4 linked regions of the Saccharomyces cerevisiae S288C genome follow. Changing the gene in region 1 together with any one later gene gives a genetic interaction. Each region holds a gene or a part of one and is shown in the gene's direction. Other genes may lie near its edges.

Region 1 (6,317 bases):
CGTTCTTCATTGAAAACTGAATTACAAACCGCTAGTGTTCTTAACAGATCGCAAACAGATGCTTTTTATACCCAATATAAAAATGGCACTGCAGCTTCTGAACCCACTCCAATAACAAAATAGTTTAACGCTTCCTGGGAACTGCAGCTCTTTTTTTACTCGCTGATATACATTTTAAATATTCTAGCAACTGTGTATGAAAACTTACGTACTTTTATACGGGAAACTAATAATGACTACAATGATATTGAATACTGGCCGCTTCGAAGAGTGGTATAAAGTTTGTATCATTGCATTAAAAGAAAAAGAAATATATGTCCCATCATCGCCAATCGCAATGTTGAATGGTCGTTTACCACTTTTGCGGCTGGGCATATGCAGAAACATGCTGTCCCGTCCCCGACTGGCTAAACTGCCATCTATAAGGTTTCGGTCTTTGGTCACCCCTTCTTCATCGCAGCTCATTCCTCTCAGTCGGTTGTGTTTAAGGTCACCTGCAGTTGGAAAATCACTAATTTTACAAAGTTTTAGATGTAATTCATCCAAAACAGTTCCAGAAACTTCTCTGCCTTCAGCCTCTCCCATATCTAAAGGATCAGCAAGGTCGGCACATGCAAAGGAGCAATCTAAAACTGATGACTATAAAGATATAATAAGGTTATTTATGTTGGCGAAACGGGATTGGAAACTGCTTCTTACAGCCATACTTCTTTTAACCATATCATGTTCCATAGGCATGTCTATTCCTAAAGTCATAGGTATTGTCCTTGACACACTTAAGACGTCATCTGGATCAGATTTTTTTGATTTGAAGATACCGATTTTTTCTTTGCCTTTATATGAGTTTCTTTCCTTTTTTACTGTTGCTTTACTGATTGGTTGTGCTGCTAATTTTGGTAGATTTATATTATTGAGGATACTAAGTGAGCGTGTTGTTGCACGCCTAAGGGCAAATGTCATTAAAAAAACGCTTCATCAAGACGCAGAATTCTTCGACAACCATAAAGTTGGGGATTTAATTTCTCGTTTAGGATCTGATGCTTATGTTGTTTCAAGATCAATGACCCAGAAGGTCTCGGATGGGGTCAAAGCCCTAATTTGTGGGGTTGTTGGCGTGGGGATGATGTGTTCTTTGTCACCTCAACTATCAATATTGTTACTATTCTTCACTCCACCTGTTCTTTTTAGTGCCTCAGTGTTCGGGAAGCAAATTAGAAACACCTCTAAAGACCTTCAAGAAGCTACTGGTCAATTGACTAGAGTCGCTGAAGAACAACTCTCTGGTATCAAGACGGTTCAGTCGTTTGTTGCTGAAGGTAATGAATTGTCTAGGTATAACGTTGCAATTAGAGATATTTTTCAGGTGGGAAAAACTGCGGCATTTACAAACGCAAAGTTTTTTACTACAACTAGTCTCTTAGGTGACCTAAGTTTTTTAACCGTCCTTGCGTATGGCTCCTATCTTGTTTTACAATCACAGCTCTCCATTGGTGATCTGACTGCATTTATGCTGTACACAGAATATACGGGGAATGCGGTATTCGGCCTTTCTACCTTCTATTCGGAAATTATGCAGGGTGCTGGGGCCGCTTCCAGGTTGTTTGAATTAACAGATAGGAAACCTTCCATTTCACCGACTGTGGGACACAAGTATAAACCAGATCGTGGTGTTATCGAATTTAAAGATGTTTCATTTAGCTACCCTACAAGGCCTTCTGTTCAAATATTCAAGAATTTAAATTTTAAAATTGCGCCAGGATCGAGTGTTTGTATTGTGGGCCCTTCAGGTCGTGGTAAATCTACAATTGCACTCTTACTGCTAAGATATTATAATCCCACTACTGGGACTATTACGATAGATAACCAAGATATCTCTAAATTGAATTGTAAATCCCTAAGAAGGCATATTGGTATCGTTCAGCAAGAGCCGGTACTGATGTCAGGTACTATTAGGGATAATATCACTTATGGGTTGACATATACCCCAACAAAGGAAGAAATCAGGTCAGTAGCAAAGCAGTGCTTTTGCCATAACTTTATCACAAAATTTCCGAACACATACGATACGGTAATTGGTCCTCACGGCACCTTACTAAGTGGAGGACAAAAGCAGCGTATTGCGATTGCAAGGGCTCTAATCAAAAAGCCAACTATTTTGATTCTTGATGAAGCTACATCAGCTTTAGATGTTGAAAGTGAAGGAGCCATTAACTATACGTTTGGTCAACTAATGAAATCAAAATCGATGACTATTGTTAGCATCGCGCACAGGCTAAGTACGATCAGAAGATCAGAGAATGTTATTGTCCTTGGCCATGATGGATCAGTGGTAGAAATGGGCAAATTCAAAGAATTGTATGCGAATCCAACAAGTGCTTTATCGCAATTACTTAATGAGAAAGCGGCTCCTGGGCCATCTGACCAACAACTGCAAATAGAGAAGGTCATCGAAAAGGAAGATTTGAATGAGAGTAAGGAGCATGATGACCAGAAAAAGGACGATAATGACGATAATGATAATAATCATGATAACGACAGCAATAACCAGTCTCCAGAGACGAAAGACAATAATTCAGATGATATTGAAAAATCTGTCGAACATCTCCTGAAAGACGCGGCAAAGGAGGCTAATCCAATTAAGATCACACCACAACCGTGAGTCATCCGCATCGCATATACCCATTCTTATCTCGCACATTTAAATATATACTATATATAATACTGTTAAATGCCAAATAAAAAGGATTTTCATTACCCGAATCGATACTTTTGGTAGCATAAACAAATAACATTGAAACAATAACAAAGTGTAATGTGGCCGCACGAATCTTTGTCTGTAACAGCCTTAAAGATTTCAGTAGCACTGCCATGGATAATGATGGACCCAGATCTATGACCATTGGGGATGACTTCCAAGAGAACTTTTGTGAACGTTTAGAAAGAATTCACAATACATTACATTCAATAAACGATTGCAACTCATTGAATGAGAGTACCACAAGTATATCAGAGACATTGTTAGTTCAATTTTATGATGATTTGGAGAACGTTGCCTCGGTAATTCCCGACTTAGTCAACAAGAAAAGACTGGGAAAAGACGATATTTTGTTGTTTATGGACTGGTTATTATTGAAAAAATATATGCTATATCAATTTATTAGTGACGTTCATAATATTGAGGAAGGTTTTGCTCATTTGTTGGATTTACTAGAGGATGAATTCTCGAAGGACGATCAGGATAGCGACAAATACAATCGATTTAGCCCGATGTTTGACGTCATAGAAGAATCTACACAAATTAAGACTCAGTTGGAGCCATGGCTTACTAACTTGAAGGAATTATTGGATACGTCATTGGAATTTAACGAAATTTCAAAGGATCATATGGATACATTACATAAAATCATTAATAGCAATATATCGTATTGTCTGGAAATTCAGGAAGAAAGGTTCGCGTCCCCGATACGGCATACTCCATCATTTACCCTAGAACAACTAGTCAAGTTATTAGGAACGCATACGGAGACAACTGAGCCAAAGGTACCAAAATTTTCTCCGGCAGAAGATATTTTATCAAGAAAGTTCTTGAACCTAAAAAAAAATATCCCTCCAATTGAAAAAAGTTTGACTGATATCCTACCTCAAAGAATTGTGCAATTTGGGCACCGGAATATAACAAACATAACTACTTTGCAAACAATCTTGCAAAAAAAATACGAGCTGATAATGAAAGATTATAGATTTATGAATTCAGAGTTTAGGGAATTGAAAGTCGAACTAATCGACAAACGTTGGAATATACTCTTTATTAATTTAAATCATGAACTATTATACATTCTTGATGAGATAGAAAGGTTGCAGTCGAAATTACTGACAACAAAGTATACCAAAGATATCACTATAAGGCTCGAGAGGCAATTGGAGAGAAAATCAAAAACTGTTTCTAAGACATTCAATATTATTTACAGAGCATTGGAATTCTCACTTTTGGACGCTGGCGTCGCATCGAAGACAAATGAATTAGCTCAAAGATGGCTGAATATCAAGCCTACAGCGGATAAAATTCTAATCAAATCCTCCGCTTCAAACAAAATAGCTACTAGCAAGAAGAAGATTCCAAAACCGAAATCATTAGGCTTTGGGCGACCGAATAGTGTTATTGGAACTATAACCCAGGATTTCCAGGAGAGAGTCGCCATTAATGAAGGTGACAGTAATAAAACACCGGAAAATTCAACTACAGTGGCTTTGAAAGGTAAAAAGCTTGGTAAAGCGTTACTGCAGAAGATGAATATTAAACCTGCAACAAGCCCAAATTCATCAAATGCGATTAATCCATTTTTTGATCCGGAGTCGCCAAACAAAGGAAAACTGATACTAAGTAGTGTTCCTCCCTTACCTTATGACGAAACCGATGAAACCACCCTCCGTGTTTCTCGTGGGGAAAATGAAAAGTCACCAGACTCCTTCATTACATCTCGGCATGAAAATAAAGTACAGATTACAGAAACTCCTTTGATGGCAAAGAATAAGTCTGTGCTTGACATCGAAAAAGATAAATGGAATCATTACCGGTCCTTGCCCTCTAGGATCCCTATATACAAGGATAAAGTGGTGAAAGTCACCGTAGAAAACACACCGATAGCAAAGGTTTTCCAGACTCCGCCAACAAAAATCACGACACCTAATAGTCAAGTTTGGGTCCCTTCGACAAGAAGAAGAACCCGATTGAGGCCTCCCACCCCCTTATCACAGTTACTTTCACCAAGAGAAGGGCGTTTAGATAAAACCCCAACTTATTGATACTAACCTAAAACTGTATACTTATACATTTTTATATATCCTCCCTCTCACCCTCTCCATTCATAGAATTTGTAATACTAGTTTAAATAATGTAATATTATGTGTAATTTTAAATAGTCCATGAAGATTCCGCACGTTTTCATTTTACAGTTTTTGACACCTTTACCCGACGCTTTATAAAAAAAATAGTATAAGCATCACGACATAAGCAGCCTCAGGTCATTAAAACAATAAAAGACTGGGAATTATAAACGTACAACGGTAAGGTCATTCACGCAGTGTATATGAATGACTGAAAGTGCTATAGATGACCAAAGGTTTAATCTTACAAAGGAGTTACAACGACACTCATGCAGAGATCAAGGGAAAATAACACAAAAGGATGATGCTTTAGATTTTATAAGTTACAGTTCTTTTCAATCCTCTTTTAATACTGACCAAAAAAGCGCGAACAATGGAAGTACTGTGAGAAGAAGCATAAGGTCGATTTTTAGAAGAGCAGCCGAATTGCCTAGAGTCCATATGGGGCCTCTTACTTATTCACATGGGATAAATGAGCTTGTTAACAAGAAATTAAGAAAAGACTGTGATCTCAGCACGCTATGTCGCGTATTGCAAAGAGGAATCAGGATGATTAGGATGACAAGAAGAAGAAGGAAGTTCTATGAATTTAAATTAATCAATAACAACGGGCAAATAATATGGAAAGATGGTTCGAAGTATCTGGAATTAGACTCCGTTAAAGACATCAGAATCGGTGATACGGCGAGTACTTATCAAGAGGAAGTAGATCCGAAAAGATTGAGATCGGACAGTAAACTTTGGATTGCTATTATTTATAAGGTTTCCAACAAATTGAAAGCGTTACACGTAGTTGCTTTGAATGAATTGGACTTTAACACATTCTTAAGCTGCATTTGCGGTTTAGTGAAGTTAAGGAGGGAATTAATGGAAAGCATACTTTTGCCTGATAATTCGCAATTCGCTAGGATACATTGGCAAATTACTGTTTCTGAAAAAGAGGAAGATGAGAAAAAGGACACATTGAGCTTTGCAGATGTGAAGAAACTATGTGATAAATTTCATATTTATGTGTCAACTGGTCAATTGTTAGAGTTTTTCCAATTAGCAGACATCAATCATAACGGACTATTAAATTATTTTGAATTTGAAAAGTTCATTAAAATCTTAAAGAATAGGAAAGAGGTAAATATGATTTGGTCTAAATTTACAAAACCTCCACACTCCCACTTATCATTTGAAAATTTTTTTCAATTTTTAATTACAGAGCAGCATGAGCAAGTGGATCGTCAAACTGCATGGTCATATTTTATTAAGTACAGAGAACCGACTCAGCTGACGATGGGGCAAGATGGTTTTACCAAGTTCTTGAAGGAGCAACCATATTTGGTGGAGGTTAAAGAGGAGTTATATTCAAAGCCATTAAACCATTATTTTATTGCATCTTCACATAATACTTATTTATTGGGGAAACAAATTGCAGAAACTCCATC
Region 2 (6,471 bases), on another chromosome or scaffold:
TAATTTCAATGAGAGTGCTATTTGATAATTGAATCAATTCTCTGTGTGAGTATGCATAGACGACAGTTTTTCCAAGAATACCGTAGTCCTCAGCAGCAGCAGGGACACCCACCAAGGTCAGAATACCAAGTTCTCGAAGAAATTGGGAGAGGTTCATTTGGGTCTGTACGAAAAGTCATCCATATACCTACCAAGAAACTTTTGGTTAGAAAGGATATCAAATATGGCCATATGAATAGCAAAGAGAGACAACAGCTGATCGCTGAATGTAGCATTCTATCGCAGTTGAAGCATGAAAATATTGTAGAATTTTATAACTGGGACTTCGATGAACAAAAAGAAGTGTTATACCTTTATATGGAATATTGTTCCAGGGGTGATTTATCCCAGATGATTAAGCACTACAAACAGGAGCATAAATATATACCAGAAAAAATTGTGTGGGGTATCCTGGCCCAATTATTGACTGCGCTCTATAAATGTCATTATGGTGTTGAATTGCCAACTTTGACCACAATATATGACCGGATGAAACCACCGGTAAAAGGCAAAAACATCGTTATCCATCGTGATCTGAAACCAGGAAATATATTCTTAAGCTATGATGATAGCGATTACAATATTAATGAACAAGTAGACGGTCACGAGGAAGTGAATAGTAATTATTACAGAGACCATAGAGTGAATTCAGGGAAAAGGGGGAGCCCTATGGACTATAGTCAAGTTGTGGTAAAGTTAGGTGATTTTGGGTTAGCCAAATCTCTGGAAACTAGTATTCAATTTGCCACAACATACGTCGGTACACCATATTACATGTCGCCTGAAGTGTTGATGGACCAACCATACTCCCCACTATCCGACATCTGGTCACTAGGTTGTGTTATTTTTGAGATGTGTTCGTTGCACCCCCCATTTCAGGCAAAAAATTATCTCGAGCTACAAACTAAGATTAAAAACGGGAAATGTGACACCGTCCCTGAGTATTACTCTAGAGGGCTTAATGCCATAATACATTCAATGATAGATGTGAACTTAAGAACCAGGCCTTCCACTTTTGAATTACTGCAAGATATTCAGATACGAACTGCAAGAAAGTCGTTGCAATTAGAGAGATTTGAAAGGAAGTTACTGGACTATGAAAATGAGCTGACAAACATTGAAAAAATCCTCGAGAAGCAAGCTATTGAATACGAAAGAGAACTGAGTCAGTTGAAGGAACAATTTACCCAGGCAGTGGAGGAGCGAGCCAGGGAAGTAATTAGCGGTAAGAAAGTTGGTAAGGTTCCAGAATCTATAAACGGATATTATGGTAAAAAATTTGCCAAACCTGCATACCACTGGCAAACAAGATATCGATAAAATTTGCTCTGAGAACATTTATACATTAATACATACGGGTATGTATGAATCATATTCAGTGAGGAGTTACACTGGCGACTTGTAGTATATGTAAATCACGTTAGTGAGACCATTTAGACCCTGTCAATGTTTCATAAGCCTCTATATATTTGGCCCTTGTCCTGTCGACAATGTCTTGGGGCATTTTGACGCCGTTAACACCGTTCAACTTATTAGCAGTAAGCCAGTCTCTTAAAAATTGCTTATCGTAAGAATCTTGGGATTCTCCTACCTTATAAGAGGCACCGTTCCAGAATCTAGAGGAGTCTGGCGTTAGCACCTCGTCCACTAGAATAATTTCATTGGTCTTTTCGTCAATACCGAATTCGAATTTAGTGTCTGCGATGATGATGCCCTTCTCCTTAGCATAATCTTTGCACTTGGAGTACAGTTTTACAGCCAGTTCTGCCACTCTACGTGACAAATCTTCACCCACCAGCTCAGCGGCCTGGGCAGGAGAGATGTTTTCGTCATGTTCACCTTGTTCAGCCTTGGTCGATGGGGTGAAGATTGGTTCTGGGAACTCTTGAGATTCTTTAAGTCCTTGAGGTTGTTTCAAACCATGCACAGTACCTGTTTTTACGTACTCTTTCCAAGCAGATCCGGTGATGTAGCCTCTGACAATTACTTCCAATGGAATTAGTTTATGTTTGTGAACCAATAGAGAGCGGTCTTCTAGTTGCGTTTTGTACTTTGGTTCGCTCAATTTTGCAGGTAGATAATCGAAAATAGTCTTACCTGGGGCGATGTCGACCAAATGATTACGAACATCGTTGGACAGGAACTTGAACCAGAACTCTGACAGTTTGGTCAATAGGATCCCCTTTTCAGGAATGCTGTTTTCCATAATAACGTCATATGCAGAGATACGATCCGTAGCAACAAACAGCAACGTACCAGCGTCTACCTCATATATGTCTCTAACTTTACCTCTGGCCACCAATGGCAATATACCGTCCAGTTCAGTCTTCGTAATTGACATTATCGTTAATATTTCGTATGTGTATTCTTTGTAAGCAATGCTTATGATTCGATTGTTCTTAATAGTACCAACTGCAAAAGATAAAACCCAACCGTCTTACCTCAAAGAATCTGGGTAAGAATATATAGAATGTATATATATATATATGTATGTCTATATGTATTAGATGGCATCTTCGAGATTAGTATTATTACATCCTCATCTCTCGCAAGAGTCAGACTGACTCGTGAATAAGCTTCGGGTGACCCTTATGGCATTCTTTTTCAACCTTCAGGAAAAGTTTCAGATGAGTTGAAATTTCGAGTATGGCTACATGGATCAAGTGCTGTAAACAAAGAAGCTTCTACAGGGGTACGCTGGTTGTGTTTTCTGCTTTGCTATCGTGTAGAACTGGATCCATTCTTTCCTGGCTGTGGTAGTACTTAAGGAGTTGGACGTGTTCAAGTCGAGAAAGAGGTGAAATACACGTAGTTTTTAGATAACATTCTCTGCTTGGTAAGAGAATGAGTAATAAGGAAGAGCATGTTGATGAGACTTCCGCAAGTGGTGTCAAGGAGGTTAGTTCTATAGCTGCTAGACATGACAATGGTTACGCGCCTTCGCTAATCACGTCGACGTCGGGCATGGACTCCTTTCAATCGCACGCGCTACTGAATGATCCAACCCTAATAGAGGATTATTCAGATATCATTAATAATAGGCCTACAAGTGGAAGTAAACTTACTTTAGGAAACGAGGATTCGGAGAGTATGGGCGGAAGTGTTGTGGTGACTCCGACTTCGAATAAGAGTTCGCCCTTCAATTCGAAACTTAATATACTGAGTAATGCGGCAGAAAAGGGCCATGATGTTCTGCGAAATAGAGATGATGACAAAGAGTTAGAGGAGGAGAACGTGGAAAAACATATGCATAGCAACAGTAAAAGGGATCAGCGACATTACAAAGAAAATTCTTCGGAATTGCCCGACTCATATGATTATTCGGATTCTGAATTTGAGGACAATTTGGAAAGAAGGCTACAAGAGATCGAAACTGATTCCGTGGATAGCGCCGATAAGGATGAGGTGCATTTTTCAGTGAATAATACAATGAACCCTGACGTTGACGATTTTAGTGATGGCTTGAAATACGCCATCTCGGAGGACGAGGATGAAGAGGAAAACTACTCTGATGACGATGACTTTGACAGAAAATTTCAAGATTCAGGGTTTCAAGGGGAGAAAGACGATTTGGAGGAGGAAAACGACGATTACCAACCCTTATCGCCGCCAAGAGAACTGGACCCTGATAAACTATATGCTTTATATGCGTTCAATGGCCATGATTCTTCACATTGTCAATTAGGGCAAGACGAACCTTGTATACTTTTGAATGACCAGGATGCCTATTGGTGGCTGGTTAAGAGGATCACTGATGGTAAAATCGGGTTTGCGCCAGCGGAAATTCTAGAAACCTTTCCAGAAAGACTAGCTCGATTGAATTGCTGGAAAAATGAAAACATGTCTTCTCAATCGGTTGCTTCCTCCGATTCGAAAGATGATTCCATCAGCTCTGGTAACAAGAATCAAAGTGATGCAGAGAGTATAATTCCGACACCTGCACTGAATGGATATGGTAAGGGGAACAAATCTGTTAGTTTCAATGATGTTGTCGGTTATGCAGACAGGTTTATAGATGATGCAATTGAAGATACCTCGTTAGATAGTAACGATGATGGCGGTGAAGGCAATGGACAGTCGTACGACGATGATGTTGATAACGACAAGGAAACAAAAGTAACGCACCGGGACGAATACACTGAAGCGAAGTTAAATTTTGGCAAATTCCAGGATGATGATACGAGCGATGTAGTGAGCGACGTCTCCTTTAGTACATCTTTGAATACACCACTAAATGTGAAAAAAGTTCGGAGACAAGACAACAAAAACGAAAGTGAGCCTAAGACATCATCGAGTAAAGACAGAGAAGATGATTATAATGCAAATCGGTATGTGGGGCAAGAAAAGTCTGAACCGGTTGACAGTGATTACGATACCGATCTGAAAAAAGTATTTGAAGCGCCTCGTATGCCATTTGCGAATGGTATGGCAAAATCAGACTCTCAAAATTCCCTTTCAACAATTGGCGAGTTTTCACCGTCGTCGTCAGAATGGACAAACGAATCACCATCCACTCCAATAGTTGAAGAAAGCAGCAGTATTCCATCATCTAGAGCAATAAAGGACATTTCACAATATATTCATGCAAAATCGAAAATTGAAGAGACAACAAACGTGGAAAACACAGAGGGGCAAATTCAAGCCAGCTTGGGGTCTAGTGGAGGAATGGCAAATCAAACTGACGCAGAACAACCTAAAGAGGAGCTAGAAAAACATCACAGTACCCCCGAAGAAGAAAAGCAATCAACCTTATCGTTACACTCATCATCTGAAGAAGATTTTTATATGGATGAACAAAGGGCGGTATCATCAGCAAGCATAAATAGTTCACTTTCCGGATCAAGGGCATTGTCTAATACCAATATGTCCGATCCGGCTTCGAAGCCCAATTCTTTGGTTCAACATCTCTATGCTCCAGTTTTTGACAGAATGGATGTGTTGATGAAACAATTGGATGAAATTATTCGTAAATGATATTGTCCTTACAATAAAGCCTGGTCTTTTTCTCATCCAACGAACTTGCATCATATTCATGAATATTTATTTGTTTTAGAAACATTTCGGAAAAAATAAGGTAGTAACAGTTCAGCATATATGATAGCTAAAACAAACAACTATATATCGTATCTACAAAGTTTATCTTACTTCTTCTATTTTTTAACTTTGCTTCAGATTATGATAATGAAAAGGAGGAATAAAATTCTGTCATTATTCAGCATCCTCCAATGTGTCATAGGGATATAACTGGGGTTGAGGAGGTAGTAGTCGACAACTACTTAGTCGTGATACAACAGTATGGATAGGTACTTTCCACGAACATTACTGATGACAGTCAGCTATTCACGAATTCAATTGTGTTGGATTAACAAAAAAATTTGGACGCAACCGGAATCGAACCGATGACCTCTTCCTTGCAAGGGAAGCGCGCTACCAACTGCGCCATGTGCCCAACTCATTACAATACTAGACTTATGAAGGAATGGTAAGTGCTTAGAAGCTTTATGATGTAGTAGAGATTTAAGGCCATCAATTACATTGTTGAAAATAAGAACCTGTTGGAATAGAAATCAACTATCATCTACTAACTAGTATTTACATTACTAGTATATTATCATATACGGTGTTAGAAGATGACGCAAATGATGAGAAATAGTCATCTAAATTAGTGGAAGCTGAAACGCAAGGATTGATAATGTAATAGGATCAATGAATATAAACATATAAAACGGAATGAGGAATAATCGTAATATTAGTATGTAGAAATATAGATTCCATTTTGAGGATTCCTATATCCTCGAGGAGAACTTCTAGTATATTCTGTATACCTAATATTATAGCCTTTATCAACAATGGAATCCCAACAATTATCTCAACATTCACCCATTTCTCATGGTAGCGCCTGTGCTTCGGTTACTTCTAAGGAAGTCCACACAAATCAAGATCCGTTAGACGTTTCAGCTTCCAAAACAGAAGAATGTGAGAAGGCTTCCACTAAGGCTAACTCTCAACAGACAACAACACCTGCTTCATCAGCTGTTCCAGAGAACCCCCATCATGCCTCTCCTCAAACTGCTCAGTCACATTCACCACAGAATGGGCCGTACCCACAGCAGTGCATGATGACCCAAAACCAAGCCAATCCATCTGGTTGGTCATTTTACGGACACCCATCTATGATTCCGTATACACCTTATCAAATGTCGCCTATGTACTTTCCACCTGGGCCACAATCACAGTTTCCGCAGTATCCATCATCAGTTGGAACGCCTCTGAGCACTCCATCACCTGAGTCAGGTAATACATTTACTGATTCATCCTCAGCGGACTCTGATATGACATCCACTAAAAAATATGTCAGACCACCACCAATGTTAACCTCACCTAATGACTTTCCAAATTGGGTTAAAACATACATCAAATTTTTACAAAACT
Region 3 (4,870 bases), on another chromosome or scaffold:
GAAAAAAGACGACAGCATCACTGAAGATGAAGCATCTAGTACAGATTTGACTGATCCAAAGGAGTTTACCACAATGCTGCATAGTGGAAAACCACTTACAGAAGATGAGTATGCCGACCTCCAGCGCAACATTGCTGAAAGGATGACTAATGCGTACGATACCGCAAGTAAGAAATTCAAAGATGTGTCACAATTAGAGAAGGAGCTATTTACACGATTCATGTCGGGGAGAGACAAAAAATCTTTCAGAGAGTTGATAATTCAATCCTTTAAAAATAAATTTGATGGGGAATTAGGTCCATCCGTTCTAGCAGCCACTTTAAGCTCGTGCTTTTCATCTCAATCGAAGGATACTTCGTTAGATACTGATTCTATATATGAAGATGAAGATGAGGAAGACTATGATGACTATTCAGAATATGCTGAAGATAGCGAAGAGGTTTCTGAGTATGAAGGAATAGAGGCAGTCGAAAAACCAGAGCATGATGAAAAAAGCAACGGGATACGTGAAACATTACATTTAAGTTATGACCACGATCATAAACGACAGAACCACCCTCACCATCACTACCATAGTACCAGTACCCACAGCGAAGATGAACTGAGTGAAGAAGAGTATATTTCCGATATAGAATTACCGCATGATCCTCATAAGCACTTTCACCGCGATGATGATATATTAGATGGGGATGAAGATGAGCCAGAGGAAGAGGATGAAAATGAAGGCGATGACGAAGAAGATACTTATGACAGCGGTCTTGATGAAACTGACCGTTTAGAAGAAGGTCGGAAATTGATTCAGATAGCCATTACAAAGTTGCTTCAAAGTCGAATAATGGCTTCTTATCATGAGAAACAGGCAGATAATAACAGACTAAAACTTCTACAAGAACTAGAAGAAGAAAAAAGAAAGAAAAGAGAGAAGGAAGAAAAAAAGCAGAAAAAAAGAGAAAAAGAGAAAGAAAAGAAGAGGCTGCAACAGTTAGCTAAAGAGGAAGAAAAACGAAAAAGGGAAGAAGAGAAAGAAAGGCTAAAGAAGGAATTAGAAGAGCGTGAAATGAGAAGACGAGAGGCTCAAAGGAAAAAGGTTGAAGAAGCCAAACGGAAGAAAGACGAGGAGAGAAAGCGTAGATTGGAAGAGCAGCAGCGGAGAGAAGAAATGCAAGAAAAACAACGGAAACAGAAAGAGGAACTAAAACGCAAGAGGGAAGAAGAAAAGAAACGTATTAGAGAACAGAAAAGGCTAGAACAAGAAAAGCTACAGAAAGAAAAAGAAGAAGAAGAGAGACAAAGATTAATTGCAGAGGATGCGCTAAGAAAACAGAAATTAAACGAAGAACAAACATCTGCGAACATACTTTCCGCCAAACCTTTTACTGAGAATGGAGTTGGCAACCCTGTTTCATCTCAATCACATCCCAACATGACTAACTACCAAGAGGATAATAGTTGCAGTATCAACGATGAAATACTTAAAATGGTTAATAGCGTGGCTGCATCCAAACCAGTTTCACCCACAGGCTTTAACGTTCATGATCTACTTCTTCCTTCAACTAACAACCAGATGCCTGCTATGGAACAATCACACTTGCCACAGCCAGGTAATCAAAACAACCATTTTGGAACTACAACTATTCCGAATGCGTTAGACTTGGCTACAAAATCTTCTTTACAGACTGAAAACAACTATTTAATGAACTCACAAACTCTGGAAAATACAAGTCTATTGATGCATAATAATTCATCGCCAACTAAGCTATTGCCAAATGACTTTGGTTTATCATCTTGGGGTGGTCTGACAAATACAATGTCCATAAATCCTACATGTAAACCACCGGTTATTCAAACTTCAGAAATGGAATCACAAGCCCATAAATCTAGTCCTCAAGCTACAATGCCATCTTTTGGACTACCTAATGGTGGTACTCACCGTAAATCGTTTACCGACGAGTTGAACACTTTAACTAGCATGCTTTCTTCTTCCGGGTTCGCAGATACATCACTTTCATCATCAGGATTCCCCCCATCACAGCGTTCTGTGTGGAATGATCAAAAAAGCTCATTTTCGGGACCGTCGACTGCAGGAAACTTTAACAACAGCAGTATACAAAGCGGTATGCTGCTCGCACCTACATTAGGAAGCGTTGAATCGTTTCCAAATCGAACTTCTATCTGGGACAGCAGCACCACTCCGATGATGAATAAATCCGAGCTTTCCGGTCGCAATATAACTAGTACTGCGCAAGATAGCCCTGCGTTCATGGCATCAAATATCTGGTCTAGTAACAGTCAATACAATTCACCATATTTGACTAGCAACGTCCTTCAATCCCCTCAAATTTCGAGTGGAGTGGATGAAAGCCACATTCTGGATAGCATCTACAATACTTATTTAGCTATTTCCCCACAAGATAGTTTAAACCCCTACATTGCTATCGGGACACTATTCCAAAATTTAGTAGGACTTAACTTGGATTACTCGACGTTTATCAACAAATTGATAAGCATGCAAGGAGCCTACAATTGCGAATTCTTTACTGATAACAATGGATCCATTACCCACGTTCGATTTGCGAGACAAACTCCCGCTGGCCACTCAAAGGGGTTGCTGAATCAACTCTTTAGTGGATTGAACGATCCAACTGCTACACCATTTACGTCAAGGCCTCATACCTCCACAAGGGCTAGTTTTCCAATTGCCTCTTCAACTACGCAAACGTCTTAAATTTGCTCCGGTACGCAGGGCCAAAAATATTTACATACATACATAATTCGACGAAATTTCAGAAGAGACACTAAACAATCGTACATCTCTCTACTCGATGTGAGCCACGCGTCGGTTTTTCTTACCGTCGTGGCTTTAGAGGTGAGGCTGCGACACCCCATACATCTTACCCGGCATTTAATTTCCATTTTTCGCAGGAATGTGAATATGATAATAGACTTCGGTACACTCTTTTTTAGGTATAACATATATCAATTGTTCAACAACAATTATTCAAAGCGCAACTCTCCAAAGGTAGTTATTCTGATAATTTGAACCAAAAGTCCCCAGATTAAGTCTTAATTAAACTGCCCTTGCATACCGCTGTAAACGATTTGTGTGCAGACATCAATTGCTGAAACGTTCTGCTTTGGTTGTGCTTTTGATCCCGTACTATGTCTGAAAAGGCCGTTAGAAGGAAACTTGTTATTATTGGTGATGGTGCTTGTGGCAAGACCTCTTTACTATATGTATTTACATTAGGAAAATTCCCTGAACAATATCATCCGACAGTGTTCGAGAATTATGTCACTGATTGCAGAGTTGACGGAATAAAAGTGTCCTTAACGCTCTGGGATACAGCGGGACAAGAGGAATATGAACGTTTACGTCCATTCTCATATTCAAAAGCAGATATAATATTAATTGGGTTTGCTGTAGACAATTTTGAATCACTAATTAACGCAAGGACGAAATGGGCGGATGAGGCATTACGATATTGTCCTGACGCACCAATCGTTCTTGTAGGCTTGAAAAAAGATTTGAGGCAAGAAGCCCATTTTAAAGAGAATGCTACCGATGAAATGGTTCCCATTGAAGATGCAAAACAAGTTGCAAGGGCCATTGGGGCCAAGAAATACATGGAATGTAGTGCACTGACTGGTGAGGGTGTGGATGATGTCTTTGAAGTAGCTACAAGAACCAGTTTGCTTATGAAGAAGGAACCAGGGGCTAACTGTTGCATAATTTTATAAAAAAAACTTACACTGAAATGATACATTATCTTTTTAGCAAGGGAGGGAAAAACAATACCGTATTATAATTTTAATCAAATTTCATAGATATAATGGAATAAGTTAAAAAGGCTTATCGATAGTGCATGTATAAAACACAAACCCATTCGATATGTTTGTTCGTTAATGTCCTACAGATTCTTATTCGAGAGCCTTTACCAGAAGCAAAATTTCCGACGGATATAAGAAAATGGCACATCAAACCATAGCTCAAGGTACTGCGCCGATGAGCTAAACGGAACTGCCTAGTTTGATTATTTTTCGTTTATATACTTATTTACTTATTTACGCTATTTGTATTCGAATTCCTTACGAGGCGATGAGTGAAAGACGCGCCAGTAGGACGCGTCTTTTTTTTTTCAGTATAATGTAAACATATTATTGAATTGCCGAAGGAGACAAAAAGAAAAGAAAAGAGGAGATCATCTTTCATATAATCCAACCACGTCGTAGAGCAAACCACGACAATTTTAACTTTCTGTTTCAGTTAAAGGAGTTTATAACGACCAGCACGGCTAACCATGTCAACTGAACCGGTAAGCGCCTCTGATAAATATCAGAAAATTTCTCAACTGGAACATATCTTAAAAAGACCAGACACTTATATCGGTTCTGTTGAAACTCAAGAGCAGCTGCAATGGATATACGATGAAGAGACCGATTGCATGATTGAAAAAAATGTCACAATTGTACCAGGGTTGTTCAAAATCTTTGATGAAATCTTAGTCAATGCGGCAGATAATAAAGTTCGTGATCCATCGATGAAACGAATCGATGTAAACATACATGCTGAGGAACATACTATAGAAGTGAAAAATGATGGAAAAGGTATTCCCATAGAGATTCATAACAAGGAGAATATTTATATTCCTGAAATGATATTTGGTCATTTGTTGACATCATCCAATTATGATGATGATGAGAAGAAAGTCACTGGTGGTAGAAACGGTTATGGTGCTAAGCTTTGTAATATATTTTCCACTGAATTCATATTAGAAACTGCAGATCTAAATGTTGGCCAGAAATATGTTCAAAAATGGGAAAATAACATGAGCATTTGCCACCCCCCAAAAATAACATCTTACAAGAAGGG
Region 4 (5,777 bases), on another chromosome or scaffold:
TAAGTATAGTTTAGGCTCATCGTTTTCATTCTTTGGTTCCTTCCCTTCAGGGTAAAATTTACCCTTGTTAGTAATACTACATCCGGTTTCATGCTTGATAAATAATAAGGTTGTATTCTTTGTAGCCTCCCATCTTACAATCTGGGGTAAATCATTAATATAAACCTTGGCGTAAAAGATGATCGACCCGTCTGTAGACTCTTTGAATAGTTCATAATTGAGTCTCGGAATAAGCGCAGAAGACTCAGACACACTGTCATGCCCTTCGCGTGGATTGCTGATTTTCTTTTCCAAGTCATCGCTCCTCTTATCATTCTTTTTGAGCTCCAAATCTTTATTTTGAGCTTCCTCTCTTTTACTTTTGATATTTTCCAGTCCTTTGCCGCCGAACCCTTTCGACAACCTAAACTTACCCTTTTTCATACCGGATTCAAACTTGGCACTCATTTCCTGAAGTTCTTTTGCTTGCAGAGGGTCTAAAGCTTTTATTTCTTCATCGCGCATTGCCTTGCTCAAGATATAAGCACCTGACAGTTCATCATGCAATAGAAGAGTAATAGCAGTACCGGAGCGACTACCTCTGGCAGTTCTTCCAGTAGTATGAACATATTGCGCGAAAGTTTTGACGGCGTTATAGATAATAACCAACGACACTTCGGGAACATTTAAACCTCTTGAGAGAACCTCTGTACAGAGAAGAATACTGTTCTTTTCTCGTTTGAACTTTTCTAAGTTCATAAGCCTTTCTTGATATGGCTTACCTGCATGAATAGCACAGGTCACAATTCCAGCATTTAACAGCTTTTTTGAAATGAAGTCGCAAATATTCTGACTTGATACAAATATAATGGCTTTAGCATCAACTTCTTCAACATCGCTTGACTGTCCGTCATTTTCACTTTGAACCTCGTCAAAAAATTCACTGCGCTCATGGATAAGCTGCACCAGATTGTCAAATTTTTCATCTTCTGAATGGCATATTCTAAACTTTTGTTTTACGTTTTCATTAACCATTCCCTTTGAATTAATCGTAATAGATATTGGGGAATGCAAAACTCTTACGGCAAAACTGCGTAGTTTGTTCGGAAAAGTTGCACTAAATAGAACACACTGTTTATCCGGTCGAACAGTTTTCATGATTTGCGTTATTTGAGGTTCAAAACCTAAATCGAACAGCCTGTCTGCCTCATCCATTACTACGAACGTTATTCTTTTAGTACTAAGTAATTTCCCATCATTTAGTGTTAATATATCAATAAATCGTCCCGGTGTGGCAACAACAATCTCAGTGCCTCTTTTAAGATCAGTAATCTGCTTTTTCATTTCAGAACCTCCTGTACAGCATACTGATCTAATGGATGTATCTGCTTCTGTGAATTTAGTAACTTCTTCATGTATTTGTAAAGCTAGCTCTCTAGTTGGAGCCAGAATTAAACCCATGGGCCCTGTTTCATGTTTTGATAATGGCCGTTGAGCTTTTACTTGTCTTAGCAATGGTAAAAGATAGGAGATGGTCTTGCCGGAGCCAGTTTTTGATATTCCTATAACATCACGACCTGACATAATAGCGGGAAGAGCCTGGGATTGAATAGGCGTTAAGGAGCCAAAGTGCAACTTTTCTGTAATTAAAACCATGGTGTCCGTTGATAGTCCCAGTTGAGACCACTTTGTGACTGGTTTGGGGCAACCTGTTCCCTTTATTTTGATATTATCCAGACTAAGTCTAAGCTCCTCAACTTCCATCTCTGACATCGAGGAAACTGTTTCAGATTCTATATAAAAATTTTTTTGGAACGGCTCAAGCTCTTCTGGAGAGTAATAAATTTGCTTTACACGTTTTTTTGCTTTGAGTTTAGCAATTTTCGCTATATTAGAATTATCCGTATTATCTTCAACATCCTCATCGTCGGTTCCTCCAAGTTCAAACAATTGATCCTCTACATCAAGAATGTCGCCTCTGTCGTACATGCCTTTACTATTACTCATTTTCTCCTCCTTCAATGACGTCATAAACTCATCCAGTGGATCTTTTTCATTATCATGCTCTGGAGCTTTTTGAATGTGCTCCTTCGATCTAAAAGAAACTCCTATTTCAGAATCATCGTCATCACTGAAGTCGAAGGATATTTTCTTCTTTACCTTACTTCTCTTCGACTTTTTCTTCGAAGGCTTAACCGATACAGGTTCGTCAGATTTCCTAAATTCATTTTTTCTCTTCCGAAGCTCTTCTTTTACACGTTCCTGTCTTTCCGTAAACTTTTCAGTAGTCTGCTTACCTTCTAAACTGTTAGTAACAATGTCATTGCGTGAAGTTTGATGCTCTTTCTGAGCATCAAATTGTGCTTTTTTTTGTTTCCATTTTGCTAGTTTTTTCCTCCTTTCCTCCAATAAAGACTCCCTATTAATATTTTGCTTCGAATCAATAGTTTCCATACCTCAAATAAACCCAAGGCAACAGCGTTATGATTTCCCTTCTCGAATTATTTGGCGCTGTATTATATTAGAAAGAACTCTAATACCTTTAGTTTGGTCCATTGCTCTAAATGACTTTAATTAGTTTCATCTAATCCGGGTAATGGTAAATCAAGATATTTCAACATAAATTAGAAGATTTCTTATTTTAATCCTTTACATGTGAGACACTTTTCCGATTAATGTGACAACTACTACAACGTGGAGTCGTCCATTATCCGTCTTAGAAAAGTAGAATGTCAACCAAACCAGAGAAGCCAATATGGATGTCACAAGAAGACTATGACCGTCAGTACGGCTCAATTACTGGTGATGAATCGTCCACAGTCTCAAAAAAAGACTCCAAAGTTACTGCCAATGCGCCTGGTGATGGTAATGGATCATTACCAGTTTTGCAAAGCAGCTCTATCCTTACTTCTAAGGTGTCTGATCTACCCATTGAGGCAGAATCCGGGTTTAAAATCCAAAAGAGAAGACATGAAAGGTATGATCAAGAGGAAAGATTACGCAAACAGCGTGCTCAAAAATTGAGAGAAGAGCAACTAAAGAGACATGAAATAGAGATGACTGCAAATAGATCCATAAATGTTGACCAGATTGTCCGAGAGCACTATAATGAACGTACAATAATCGCCAATCGCGCTAAGAGGAATCTATCGCCTATTATTAAGCTTCGTAATTTTAACAATGCGATTAAGTATATGTTAATTGACAAATATACAAAACCTGGAGATGTCGTTTTAGAACTCGGATGTGGCAAAGGTGGTGATTTAAGAAAATATGGTGCTGCAGGTATTTCACAGTTTATTGGTATTGACATTTCCAATGCCTCTATCCAAGAAGCTCATAAGAGATACCGGTCCATGAGAAATTTGGACTACCAAGTTGTGCTAATTACTGGGGATTGCTTTGGCGAATCATTAGGTGTTGCAGTAGAGCCCTTCCCAGACTGTAGATTTCCGTGTGATATCGTTTCGACGCAATTTTGCTTGCATTATGCTTTTGAGACCGAAGAAAAAGCAAGGAGAGCTTTACTGAATGTCGCCAAATCACTCAAAATTGGTGGTCACTTTTTTGGCACGATACCAGATTCAGAATTCATTCGTTATAAACTGAATAAATTTCCCAAAGAAGTGGAAAAGCCATCTTGGGGAAACTCCATTTATAAAGTGACATTTGAGAATAATTCATACCAAAAGAATGATTATGAGTTCACATCGCCTTATGGTCAAATGTATACTTATTGGCTAGAAGATGCTATAGATAATGTTCCTGAATATGTTGTGCCATTCGAAACCTTAAGAAGTTTGGCTGATGAATACGGTTTGGAACTAGTATCGCAAATGCCTTTTAATAAATTTTTTGTCCAAGAAATTCCCAAATGGATTGAGAGGTTTTCGCCTAAAATGAGGGAAGGTTTACAAAGATCTGATGGTAGATATGGTGTTGAAGGGGATGAAAAGGAAGCGGCATCATATTTCTATACCATGTTTGCATTCCGTAAGGTAAAACAGTATATCGAACCGGAAAGCGTAAAGCCCAACTGAAATAAAAATGAATAGAAACAATAACCCTACTATAAAGCATCTGTATTTCGGCCGTATTACAAGACTTCTATATGTAGTAAATAAGTTCTGGGGAAATGCATAACGATATATGTGTTATTCTATAATGCAGTAGTTACTGTCATGGTTTGCGAATTGATTAACATGCATGGAGGTAAGCCCTCCAACCAAATATCCAAGTCCTCGACATATTGTAAACTTGCATCGTGATCTTCATGTGTTCCAAGAGCTGGAACTGGCAAGGTTGAAAAAATTAAATCCGAACTCTTTGACATTTGTGTCATCACATCATTCAGAACCAAATGTTGAGCAGTGCTGGGAAGATCATTGAAACCTAAATTTTGCATCGCTGTGACTAAACTATCTTTTGAACAACAAGGTGATAATTCGGGAAGAACCGGTTTCTTTAATTTGTTGCCGTTGCCAATACCGCTCCCAGTACCGTTCCCATTCGAAAGGTCAGGTTCGGCAATTGGGATCAGTGTCGGCTGTTCACCCGTGCCATCTTCCACGACTCTCGTCCTCGGCAAAGTATTACTCGAGAAAACGGGTCTTAACGACTGTGTTGACACATCGCTTTGTAAATTCTTTACGAGTAAATTTGTTCTGTCGGAACCGGTCTTCGATTTGGTCGTTAAGTCCTTACCTACTGAAATATTAGTCGATGCCGAGAAGGCATCACGAATTGACGTAAGATCTGTATCCAAATCGGAGTCCTCACTCTCGCATGGGGTATCAATGCGGTTAGTTGGCATTCTCGTATTCATTGTAAATGAGACACCCAATTTCTGAACCCCAGACGTATATTTTCTTGATTGTGTAAATTGCTTTGCTATCGTTTGAGGTTCAATAGTGGAAAACCTCCGCTTCGGTTTTAATGTATCACGAGCTTCAACCAAATCTTTCCACCATTCATTATCGGCCAATTTCGAGTTGACATAATCAAACACGATTGGGTCTCCCTTGACAATTGTGTTGTATACTCTGAATTGATCTAAAGATACTACCAAAACCTCTGCGTCAATTCTTAGAACCTGTAATAGCTTTTTCATTCGTTGAGTTTCGTTCGTTCTATGATATTCTTGTTCCACAAATAAAATAACTCGAAGCGAATGTGTGCGCTTCCATTCAGGAACAGTAACCAAAATGGCAGCTAATTGTAGAATCAGTGTATACGTATCAAAGTTAGTAGTGATAGCCGCAGGCTGGTCACCCTTTGCCTCAACTTTTCCGCACATTTGGATGGGATAAAGATCTATAGTTTTTTTTGGAAAGCAGCTGTCCCTTTTGTTCGGTATCTCTAAATTTTTGAATCCATGCGCTATGGCAATATTGGATTGCATCAGTGATAGATCTTCTACAATTTGAACCCATTGTTGTACATTAACTTTGGTTTCATTTTTACACTCATCCGTAGGCAATGGAACATTGATTTTGACATCAGAGCATGTACTACGTGGCACTGTAGCTTTTATTTCCACCTGTTTCTGAAGGTTATTTTGGCTGCGACTTTGTGGGATGTGCTTTCTATAACTTTCGAGGTCAAAAAAACCGACAACAGTAATGTTTGGTTTCATACCTCCAAGCCCGGAACCAATAAAAACATTCCTAATTCCCCATATAAGGGAGGGACCAGTCCCAACTTGGACAAAAGCCTTTATTGCTGCCATGTCTCTGATCTTCATCCAAGCTTTCTGCTGAGTTTTTAATTCATTTAGTTGCTTCGGAAAATCCGCAGTT

What was found.
Region 2: mutations in KAR9 (region 1) and BUD14 together harm fitness more than expected from each alone (negative genetic interaction), as found in Saccharomyces cerevisiae (2 studies listed by BioGRID).
Region 3: mutations in KAR9 (region 1) and RHO2 together harm fitness more than expected from each alone (negative genetic interaction), as found in Saccharomyces cerevisiae (3 studies listed by BioGRID, with this or other methods).
Region 4: mutations in KAR9 (region 1) and ABD1 together harm fitness more than expected from each alone (negative genetic interaction), as found in Saccharomyces cerevisiae (2 studies listed by BioGRID).

Annotation. Positions count from the first base shown.
Region 1 is NC_001148.4:30,145-36,461, forward strand, and holds KAR9 (Kar9p), read left to right. Parts: upstream 1-2,868; coding exon 2,869-4,803; downstream 4,804-6,317. Other genes in the region: ATP15 (F1F0 ATP synthase subunit epsilon), read left to right, coding at 1-123; ATP-binding cassette permease MDL2, read left to right, coding at 338-2,659; PLC1 (phosphatidylinositol phospholipase C), read left to right, coding at 5,092-6,317. UniProt on the Saccharomyces cerevisiae protein: Involved in karyogamy. Component of a cortical adaptor complex that orients cytoplasmic microtubules. It may be involved in anchoring cytoplasmic microtubules to the cell cortex.
Region 2 is NC_001133.9:165,284-171,754, reverse strand, and holds BUD14 (protein phosphatase regulator BUD14), read left to right. Parts: upstream 1-2,883; coding exon 2,884-5,013; downstream 5,014-6,471. Other genes in the region: serine/threonine protein kinase KIN3, read left to right, coding at 52-1,359; ADE1 (phosphoribosylaminoimidazolesuccinocarboxamide synthase), read right to left, coding at 1,460-2,380; YAR010C (gag protein), read left to right, coding at 5,889-6,471. UniProt on the Saccharomyces cerevisiae protein: Important for bud site selection. Seems to be a regulatory subunit of the BUD14-GLC7 type-I phosphatase complex. The BUD14-GLC7 complex is necessary to regulate microtubule dynamics at the cortex and may function as a specific activator of the dynein complex.
Region 3 is NC_001146.8:453,406-458,275, forward strand, and holds RHO2 (Rho family GTPase RHO2), read left to right. Parts: upstream 1-3,159; coding exon 3,160-3,738; downstream 3,739-4,870. Other genes in the region: NST1 (Nst1p), read left to right, coding at 1-2,725; TOP2 (DNA topoisomerase 2), read left to right, coding at 4,299-4,870.
Region 4 is NC_001134.8:688,625-694,401, reverse strand, and holds ABD1 (mRNA (guanine-N7)-methyltransferase), read left to right. Parts: upstream 1-2,708; coding exon 2,709-4,019; downstream 4,020-5,777. Other genes in the region: DEAD-box RNA helicase PRP5, read right to left, coding at 1-2,433; VHC1 (Vhc1p), read right to left, coding at 4,139-5,777. UniProt on the Saccharomyces cerevisiae protein: Responsible for methylating the 5'-cap structure of mRNAs.